Linked DNA regions of Schizosaccharomyces pombe. Each later gene encodes a partner of the first gene's protein in a complex. Each region holds a gene or a part of one and is shown in the gene's direction. Other genes may lie near its edges.

The links.
Region 2: mod21 (region 1) and alp4 share a complex: the UniProt entries of both Schizosaccharomyces pombe proteins name them as parts of the gamma-tubulin complex.

Annotation. Positions count from the first base shown.
Region 1 is NC_003424.3:247,974-252,931, reverse strand, and holds mod21 (gamma tubulin complex GCP5 subunit Mod21), read left to right. Parts: upstream 1-2,005; 5' UTR 2,006-2,161; coding exon 2,162-2,325; exon of another isoform or gene 2,326-2,382; coding exon 2,383-4,252; 3' UTR 4,253-4,353; downstream 4,354-4,958. Other genes in the region: fatty acid elongase Elo1, read left to right, coding at 180-540, 595-1,206; nucleoside diphosphate kinase Ndk1, read right to left, coding at 4,549-4,958. UniProt on the Schizosaccharomyces pombe protein: Component of the gamma-tubulin complex that is required for the regulation of both interphase microtubule organization and nucleation, and mitotic bipolar spindles. Required for correct septation.
Region 2 is NC_003423.3:2,521,926-2,527,672, forward strand, and holds alp4 (gamma tubulin complex GCP2 subunit Alp4), read left to right. Parts: upstream 1-2,135; coding exon 2,136-4,490; 3' UTR 4,491-5,209; downstream 5,210-5,747. Other genes in the region: UDP-glucose 4-epimerase Uge1, read right to left, coding at 1-699, 868-930, 998-1,000. UniProt on the Schizosaccharomyces pombe protein: Component of the gamma tubule complex that is required for the regulation of both interphase microtubules and mitotic bipolar spindles.

The DNA of each region.
Region 1 (4,958 bases):
ATTGTGGAATGTTCATCTCTGGGGTGTGTCTTTTTTTGAGGCACATCATGTGTTACTTTTGTGTGTAGTCGTTAAGTACTACCAAACATGAAAGCAAGCGTCTGAAAGAACAATAGAAATTTCACTAGTTTTAATGCGATTGAGAGGCTTTCATGTTGATTTTTACTAACAATTTTTAGGTCATGGTTAAATTCCCTGGCAGATGCCACATTCGGAAAGCGGCCATCTTCCTTTGAATTTATCGTAAACAAAACCCGCTTTTCGTCCGCCCCGGTCGTTGCAACCATCATCATATCTTACTATCTTTTAATTCTTGTCGGAGGTAGAATTATGCGTAATAGGCAACCTATCCGTCTTCAAAAGATTTTCCAATATTATAATTTGACTTTTTCCATCGCTTCAGCTATCCTTGCACTTTTGATTTTTGAACAAGTAGCCCCTGCTATTTACAAGCACGGTTTTTTCTTTTCTATCTGCAATGAGAAAGCATGGACTCAACCGCTGGTATTTTTATACTACTGTGCTTATATTTCAAAATTCGTACGTCTCCATCGTTTTTTGACCATACTTTTTTCATTCTAACATACGTTTTAGCTTGAATTGACAGATACTTTTTTCCTTGTCCTCCGCAAAAAACCCCTTCAATTCCTTCATTGCTACCATCATGGTGCCACTGCCGTTCTTGTATATACTCAAATTGTTGGCAGAACTTCCATCAGTTGGTTGATCATTGAAATCAATTTATTGGTTCATGTTACTATGTATTATTACTACTATCTTGTAGCCAAAGGTATTCGGGTTCCTTGGAAGAAATGGGTCACCCGCTTTCAGATCGTTCAGTTCTTTGCTGATTTAGGTTTTATTTATTTCGCAGTATACACGGAGGTTGCGTATCGGTTGAAGTTTTACAAAGCCTGTATGGGCCATTGCTCAGGACATCCTTTAGCGGCGTTCTGTGGTCTCGCAACAATCTCTTCATACCTTGTTTTGTTTATCGTCTTTTACCATAACACTTACAAGAAAAATGCTGCTCTCAAAATGAAAGCTAAGGCTGCAGCTGCAACAAAAGGTAACTCATCAGAATCTTCTAAAAATGCGGACTTAAAGCGTCTCTCAAAAAGTAACGCTTCTATTGCCGAGGTTAAATGCAATAATATAGTTACTAATCTGTATCCTATTTCTTCAGGTTTAAACAATGAAAAATAATGTTTTCGTGGTACCTCTTATGGTTTTTAATTACCCGATTTTGCTCTTACTTATAACTTGATATTGAGCCCTAAAGTCTACAAGTGCCTTTTTTTTCTTTGTTCTGCTTAACGTTGCATTTAGAATTACCAATTAATAGTTGGAGTGACTTACGGGCGACGATTTTGTGAATTTTGAAAGTACTTAATTGTCCGTTAGCTTTACATCCTTGTCTATATTCGATTACTACCTTTTATCCAGTGAATCCTTTTTCCCATTCCTTAATCAAGATTTATCGACGTCTTTACATGTTCTAAACTTTTTAGCTAAACCTCTACTAAGTATAGATTTGTTAACTTCGTGGTATCTTAAGGTCAAACTTGATGGTGTGATAATATAATTAAAAAAATCAGAGCCAAAATCTTTTCTTCAATATAATGTTCTGAATCTTTTTTTCCAAAGATTAAAAGTCCATTTGTTTAATATTTTATATTAAAAAACCATGGTAATACTAATGCACAACTTATGAAAAATGGGTATAAATTAGTAAGAAAATATACGTTCTAATAACAGTACTACAGTTGTGTAAGGTTGGTAAATTTCTCTGTATAACTTGTAGTCATTGCAAGTGAGCATACGGAATTCATTATTTATTTTGAAGTTTTCTTACTATTTCAGTTAGGGAGCGGCGCCGGTTAATCTAATAACAGTAAATACGTTTAAAACAAAATATATTAGTTTTTTTTTTATTACTATTATAAATGACTTACACAGCTTAACGGCAAATAATGATTAACCCCCTTCAGTCATAAATTGACTCAACTCATTTCTCTCATGTCAAACAAAAATTTTCCTTCATTCGCGATAGTATACGAAATATACACTCCTTAATCGGCATTTTAGCAATATCAGCACATAATAAAGAACATATGAGAATACAGGCAAAGCTTAATAAATGTTTTATCAAGAACTGTAAATGACAATGTCTCGTGCGGATCAAATCCTACAGCATCTCTTAAGGGAACTAATACATAATGATTCATTAGTTGCTAGTGAATGGTTAAAACATTCAAAGAAAATCATTCAAAATGTCCCTAGTTCGACATTGGTATTTCATGAAATGATAGAACATATAAAAGGGTAACGTAAAGCAGATCTGCCGATTGTTGTTGGAATGTTAAGACTAACTTGATCTAGCATCTGTGACAAAATGGGTATACAAGGTCGGGAAGATTTAGAAATGCCTTTACGAAACGCTTGTGAAGTTCTCAATCGTCAAACCGTTAGTGTCAAGCAAAGTATATTGCATGCCCAAATATTAAAACTTTTCCTTGAATTATCTAAACCACCCTCAGATATACATGTCCCACAAATTCCCGTCTACAAAGATTGCAACAAGAATGAACAAGAAGCTATAATCCAGTTATTAACTAGTTGTGAAGGAGACCACTGGTTGATGCCTGACTGGTCTTCAATGCCTGATGATGAAACCATAACAGAAGACTCTGAGGAAGAAACTTTCAATGGAAATGCTAATGAAATTACGATACCAGCCAACATCCACATCCCTATCATCGAGGAGTCTGACAACGCGTCTAACAATAAGCTATGTACTTTATTTAAAAAAAGCAAGCAACCGAATTTAGATTTTTTACAGATAAAACCCTTTATGTTTTGGGATTCTAGTTTGAACGAAACTGTCCGAATATCTGAAAGAAGTATTATTCGCGACTCTATATATATGTTGATAGGTTATCCAAGTTTTTTCTTCTTAAAAAATGGTTCAAAAATTGAAACACGACTTTCTTTATTACCAAAGCTTCATCACATGAGCGAAGAGATTCTTCGCAGTATAATGACAGAACTTGCCGATTACGGTTCTAACTTGGAATTTTTTCGACAAAAACTAACATCTCCTAGCGATTCGTTTTTTAAAAGTGATGACCAAAGTACCAAGAATGAGCCGTTTCTCTCTGTTGTCTTCATTTATCCTCAAATAAAACCACATCTCTTAAGTTGTTTAAAAAACACACACCAAGAGCTTATTAAACTCGAAACAGAAGTTTATAACGCTACAAAGAACTGTACTCTTTTTCAATTTTTTCAACATGTAAAAAAATTCGTTGATCCACTATTGTGCTTTCGTTTCGCTTACGAAAAATCAGCAACGAATATGTGGGATTTTGTTAAAACATTGGAGTTCATATATTCAACAAGGAATTACTCTTCACAAATGTTCAAGCTCTATAAAGCTTCTGCTATTGCAATGTTATTGTGGATGGTTAATCAAGCCTCACAAATTACCAGTTCTATGACTATAGCCAGGCCTCTATATAACATTTTAATCCTTTGTAAGGATTTTCCTAACAATTTCCTTGAGAAAGACAATATTGCTCTCCAATTGGGTAGTATTGTTTTTGACCAATCTCCAACTCTAAACAATTTACTTGTGGAAATGGAAATATTAATTAGAAGCAAAATTTTAAAGCTTGGTAAATCTTTGGATTTATCTTTTGACTTTCAAAGTTTAATGGGGGAGTTTGAAAATTTAATAAAACAACAAGAAGAAGCTAAAAAGTCGTTATGGTCAAAAAGATTTAGTCGTTTCTATTATGGGCATTATGTATTCGTCAACACCTGTCATAATTTTTTCCTAACACTATATCAATCTTTTACTGAAGTTGATGAAAATTCTATATTCAACGGCGTTTTTGAAACGCTTAATAATGATGTTGATGATGAATCTGTAATAGGGGAAAAAGAGAAACTTATTTTAAAGCAAAAGCAGAAATGTTTATCTGAATTTTTTGTTGATGACATAAAGAAGCTCTTAAATGAAGAGCTGCTCAATTGTCAAAAGCAAGAGCTACCAGATGTCATGGAAAATACATATCAAATTTCGACCGTTTCAGGAATTAAAAATGATCCGTTATTTACGTTGGACCAAACCTGTAATATAATAGCGAAACTAGCGGACAATCTCATACATCCTTCTGTTCCCATTGGTAGTTCTGCCTATCGATGTAGACGAAATTTGGCTGACTTATTATTCCTTATAATGCCATGATTACGATAAAATGCCATAATATTTACCATTACGTGTATAGAATCAATAGATTTCATAAAAGTAACCTTTTGGATGAGTAAAACCATACTGACTTACATGCGATTTCTCTAGTTTCATGTCGTTTACTAACGAATGATATTTGAAAAAGACCTATATCTATTAAAAAAAATGATAGTGTGCTTTAATGAAGGTAGAAAATCATTAGTCATATTTATTTGCTTTGGGTGTTGCTGATAGTTTGCATCACCCATAACAAACACGAGTCCTTTTGAAGAGGCTCTTTAACTTCTTCTTATTCATTCGTAAATCCAAGGTTCAATTGTACGATCGTAAACTTGGATTTCCGAAGGCTGGAACCAAAGTTTAATTTCACGATTAGCGCTTTCTATGGAATCAGAACCATGGCAAACGTTTCTACCAAGGTCGATACCATAATCACCGCGAATAGTGCCAGGGGCAGAATCCAGAGGGTTACTGGCGCCCAACATTAAGCGACCAGTTTTCACGGCTTGTTTACCTTCCCATATCATGGCACATACAGGGCCTGATGCCATGAAACCAACGAGTTTCTCATAAAAAGGCTTTCCTTTATGTTCGGCATAATGTTCTTCCACAAGATCACGACTAGGAACTAAAAATTTTAGAGCACGTAGTTTGTAGCCCTTCAACTCAAATTTTGAGATGATGTATCCAATCAGTCCTCGCT
Region 2 (5,747 bases), on another chromosome or scaffold:
AGCAGCAACATGAGCCTCTGCCAAATCGCATACGTGAATGTAGTCACGAATTGGAGTACCGTCAGATGTGGGATAATCGTCGCCAAATACATTCAAATGATCCAATCTTCCTACAGCAACTTGCGCGATATAAGGAAGCAAGTTATTAGGGATGCCAAGAGGATCTTCACCGAGTTCACCAGAGGGATGAGCACCTCCGGGATTAAAATAGCGTAATAAAGCTGCATTAAGCGATTTGTTCACCTTGGTCTCATCCTCAATGATATTTTCAATGAAAAGCTTTGTGCGACCATATGGGCTTGTACCTTCACGAGGGCATGACTCTGGAATAGGAATGGTACCACCAGGTCTAGTAGGATCGCCATACACGGTAGCAGATGAAGAAAAGACGAAGTCACGTACATTATACTTCTTCATGCACTCTATTAAATTAATGGTACCGGAAATGTTATTTTTGTAATAACTCAAAGGAACCTGTACAGATTCACCAACTGCTTTGAGACCAGCAAAATGAATGACAGCAGATATGTTTTGATTTGCGAAGACCTTGTCCAAAGCTGGCTCATCAAGCAAATCCACCTGGTGGAATATGACTTTTTTCCCAGTGAGTTTTTCAATGCGGTGCACGGCTTCAACGCGAGAATTGCATAAATTATCGACAATTACAACATCATATCCTTTTTCTAACAAAACAACGCACTATTGCAGATTGTGGTTAGCAAAATATCTCAAAAAAGAGCTTTATAGAATATGGACGAAATTGTATAAAAGTAAAGAGCAGCAAGCTATATTCACAAAAGATGCGTGCTTAAAACATTTACATGTACATTACTAATCCTCTTCTGTATCTTCAAGCTCTCTACGTACCGTATGAGAACCTATATAACCAGCGCCGCCAGTAACCAACACAGTCCCTTCATGAACACCAGTCTATGAATCATAATTAGTATTTTCATACAAAAGAATGCTTTTGATTAATTAAAAAAGTTATTCATACCATTTTACACGTTATAATTTGATATTAAAGGGGTGGGCTCAAGACTGTAGCTATTATGCTCTTTCTTTGTTGGATATTCAGTTTCCTACATGCTCAAGGTATCAATGCAGGTCGTTACCTCCTGTAACCTGACATGATGTAAAACGAGCAAAAGCCACAATGAAGCTTAAGCTAAAAGTGAAAAGTGCTTGTATATCTCGCTAAACCATTTTATTGATATATCGCTAAAAAATTCCTAATCATAATATTATATAGTAACAAAGAGGTCGTCGGAATAAGTGTATAGCAGATGAATGCCTGTGATTAGGTGTATGGATTTTTCATGTTCATAAAGCATTGAGGTAGTAATTTAATGTATGTGCATTTACCAATAAATTTTTTTTTTGTATTTATTTTTTTAAAAGATGAACTCGAGATTTTACAACCAATATACACTTTGATAGATGTAATGTTTGTGATTTCACCACCAGCTTCATGCGACTACAAAATCCTTGCTTCCCTAGAAAAGCATTTTATCTGTAAATAAATCATTGATGCTTATATGTATTTTTGAAAAAATTTATTTTGTTAAAGAAATAACAAGTAAATGTATAATTAACATAAAACCGAGCTAAATTTATTGCTTTTATTATGCAAATATTACCTACTGGCTAGTAAATAAAGCGAAGTAGTCTGCATTAGAATAAAAAATTTAAACACAACAAAAAAAAAAAAAAAAAAAAAAAAAAAAAGATGAAGGGAATAAATCCCTCAAGCTTAGGATCTAAAATTTTTATCCATTCAAAATAAACTCTAGCATATAGAATTTGTCACTGTCTACTGCTATCCATATATACTCGAATGAGTATTTGGGGTCCTTTGAGTTTACGGTAGTCTTACAATAGAAAATGCTGCAGTCTTCTAGTTATGTATTTTTTGACTAATTTTTTTTATACTTTTTTGCATTTTTTAATGCTACACGGACCTGAGTTGGTTTGCTTTGAAATTGCGTTGATTGTTAGCTGGCGCATACTTACCAACCTACATCTTAAAACTGGCCTGCTGGTAAACAAGCATATCCGAATAATAATTACAAAGAGCACTAAATATTAAATAAATGTTCACACTTTTGTAGATTATATAAAAAAAGACTCTTTAAATGGTGAGATCGATTAGTTCGGTGCTTGCTAAAGAAGAAAGCGAGAATGGGAGTCCAATTCCAGCTCTCGAGGAAGGGAGCGTTTATCATGTCTCTTTGAAGAGTGAAGGTGTTTCTCCATTTTCTGATAGGATTCAATTAAATTATCTTTACGATGGGAAGACTTTTAGCGATCCTTCGAACTTAAATATCCATCAGCAGGAAGCATGTCTCATAAACGAACTCTTAAATGCATTTATGGGCATGGAGGGTGTATTTGTACATCTCCAAGACATGAAAGCATCCTCTGAGTTTGAAACCATTATTATGCCGCCATCGTTTTATATTCTTCCTGGATTTGATTTAGGTATAAAGGATATTGCTTCTGAGATGTTAGAGATGGGGTCTCATTATTTAAGTATCACAGCTTTTATAGAATCGAGAAGCCATTTTGAATACGGATTTGTTAACCACGCATTGTGCGCTGCTTTGCGAAAGTTTGTGATGGACTACGTGGTACTTATCATGCAGTGTGAAAATCAGAGCCGAATTGATCCAAATTTTTCTCTTCAAACTCTTCGCCTTTATACTCTTCCCACATCGCGTTCATTACGACAAGTGTATTTAATTCTACGTGACCTGCTTTTGTCTATGGAAAAGAATGCTTCCAGCAGCGATGATTTAGGTCTTAGTAACATCGACGATCTTTTAGAGCAACTTAATGAAGGAAATGACATTTCACATGTTGTTAATGCCACTAGGTCTAAGAAAAAGGTTTGTAAAGGTGGGCAAGTCATTTCTTTTTTGACCGAAAGTCTTACGAAATATGCGGGTGATCCTGTGGCACGAAAAATCCTAACCTATTTATTGCGCGAAGCTTCACGCCCTTATACAAAAATGTTGAATGAGTGGATCCATCTCGGGCTCGTAAATGACCCATATGATGAATTTATGATAAAAATACACAAAGGAATCACATCTATGCAACTTGATGAAGACTACACAGATGAATATTGGGAAAAACGATACGTGATTCGAGAGGATCAAGTTCCTCCACAATTGCTTGATTTACAAAACAAGGTACTCTTTGCAGGCAAGTATTTGAACGTCGTTTTAGAGTGTAGGAAGGGAGTTAATAACCTGGCTTCGTTAAATGCAAAAGACGATACTCAAAACCAGTTGCTCTGGCCTTCAACCTTCGATGATGATAACTTTACTTTAAATATCATGAATGCCTATGTTTATGCAAATGAATCTCTCTTGCAATTACTCCAGTCTTCACAGTCTCTTTACGCTCATCTGTACTCGCTCAAACATTATTTTTTCCTTGATCAATCTGACTTTTTTACAACATTTCTTGACAATGCTCAACACGAGCTACGAAAACCTGCAAAGTATATATCTATCACGAAGTTGCAGTCGCAATTAGATTTAGCCCTTCGTCAGCCTGGTACGATAACTGCGACTGATCCACATAAAGAATACGTGACTGTAGAAGTGAATCAAACATCATTAATAGACTGGCTCATGCATATTGTAAGTATCAGTGGTTTGGAAGAAGGAACATCATCTCAGGGAAACGAAGTTTGGAATGAATCAATCACGAAGCAAGCGGATGTGGGCAATGAAACTCGAAATTTTGAGAGTGAACACAATCGGAGCACACAGGGGACTTCAAAAGTTGGTAGCGATAAAGATATTAATGGATTTGAAACGATGCAACTATGCTATAAAGTTCCATTTCCCCTTTCACTTATTTTATCCCGCAAAGCTATTATTCGATATCAACTTTTGTTCAGATATTTTCTTTTACTTCGTCACGTTGAAATGCAACTTGAGAATAGTTGGGTGCAGCACAGCAAGAATAGTGCTTGGCGTCTCAATTCCTCCAATGCGAAAATCGAACAATGGAAAAGGAACAGCTGGTTATTAAGGACACGAATGCTTAGTTTTGTTCAAAAAATAATCTACTATACTACAAGTGAGGTGATTGAAACACATTGGGGGAAATTTATGGGAGAACTTGAGAACGCCCGAACTGTGGATAATTTAATGCAGGAGCATATCGATTTTTTGGATACGTGTCTAAAAGAATGCATGCTTACTAACTCGCGATTACTTAAAGTACAATCTAAATTACTTAATACTTGTGCTATGTTTGCCTCTTATACTTCCACGTTTACCCGATCCTTATATTTGCTTGAGAATTCCGAAGAAAGCTTTGATGAAGGAAGAATGGATAAGATGGAAGAAATTTTACGCCGGTACGAAGACAGTTTTAGTCGTCATTTAAAATCCTTAGTGAATGCTTGTAACTACTTTGCAAGTACTGAGACGGCGGCTCTTTTAAGTTTAGTAATGAAATTGACGGGATAACTAAGAAGAGACAAGATAAAACAAGGCAAGGTAGAAAAACTACAAATGGAACAACGTTACTATTGTTTTATTGAGATATGAAGAAACATCTGACAAACAGCAATGGAAATTGGGAGAAAAACTTTTATGGATATTTATATAGTCGGTTTTTGGATAACCTTATCTTTGACATCTTGTTGCTTGTACTCGTTAATAAAGAAATGACTTGGAGTGAGGATCTTGCGGAATGGCCAATTATCTTCATAAACAAGCATTGCTTATCCGCAGTATACATTGGTCCATTTTCAGTAGTTTGGACTTTTTTTTGGCCAGTTGTCACACTAAAAGCGTACTGCACTATTCGGTTAAAAATTGACAAAAAGACGACTGCCATTGGCCATGAATTTAAGAATGATTATGGAGAAAGGCATGGCGAGCGTTTAATATGCCAACACTTGTGTTATATAAAAAATAATCGATTTTTTAAAATGTCTGAAACAGGGTTTGCTGATAATGCCTGAGGAATGGTAACTTGGATTTTTGATCGCTAATTTTTTATTAGCTATGTCGCTAAATTTAAGGCAAGTCGGCAGTATGCCGCGTGATTGAGGAAGAACGAAGAGAGAGGCTAAGCATTTGTTCCTAGTCTAAAGAGCTATCGATTGATTTTGAAGTGATACAATGTATGCTAACGTTTGTACCATAGACAGCTATAGTAATGAACTTTGTTATGTGAAGAAGTACAGTTGCTACGACAGTAATGATGATGATGTATGTATATAAAAACCAAACCAAGGTTTAATTTAGGTGGTTATAGTATTGTATACGCAAAACTATTCATTTGTGTGCACTCGTAATGAATTTCTAGTAATTGTATTTTGCAGTTAAAAGTTTAATGGATGCGTAAACAAAGGAACAGGTAAGCTAGTAAAGCGCATACAAAAATTGTAATATCGAAGGAAAACGTCAATTTAGATTAGTGTAGGATGGTTATTACGAAAGGATAGAGTTACTATGAAAAGTGAGTACAGATTGTATGATTAAGTATGGGGGCGATAGCTGGGTGTGAGGCAAAGGAATCATATGACTTTAGAATTATCGCATCAAGGAGTAAGAAAAACGAAAACTTATCTCACAGTGGATTGCCCAAAATTATCAATCCCCCACCATGTAAGAGGAAACAAGAGAAACAGAGAGAGGGAGAAAGAAATAATTAGAAACTAGCAAATATACTTTACAGATTACAAATGGACACGATAAGTAAGTTAAGATGAAATA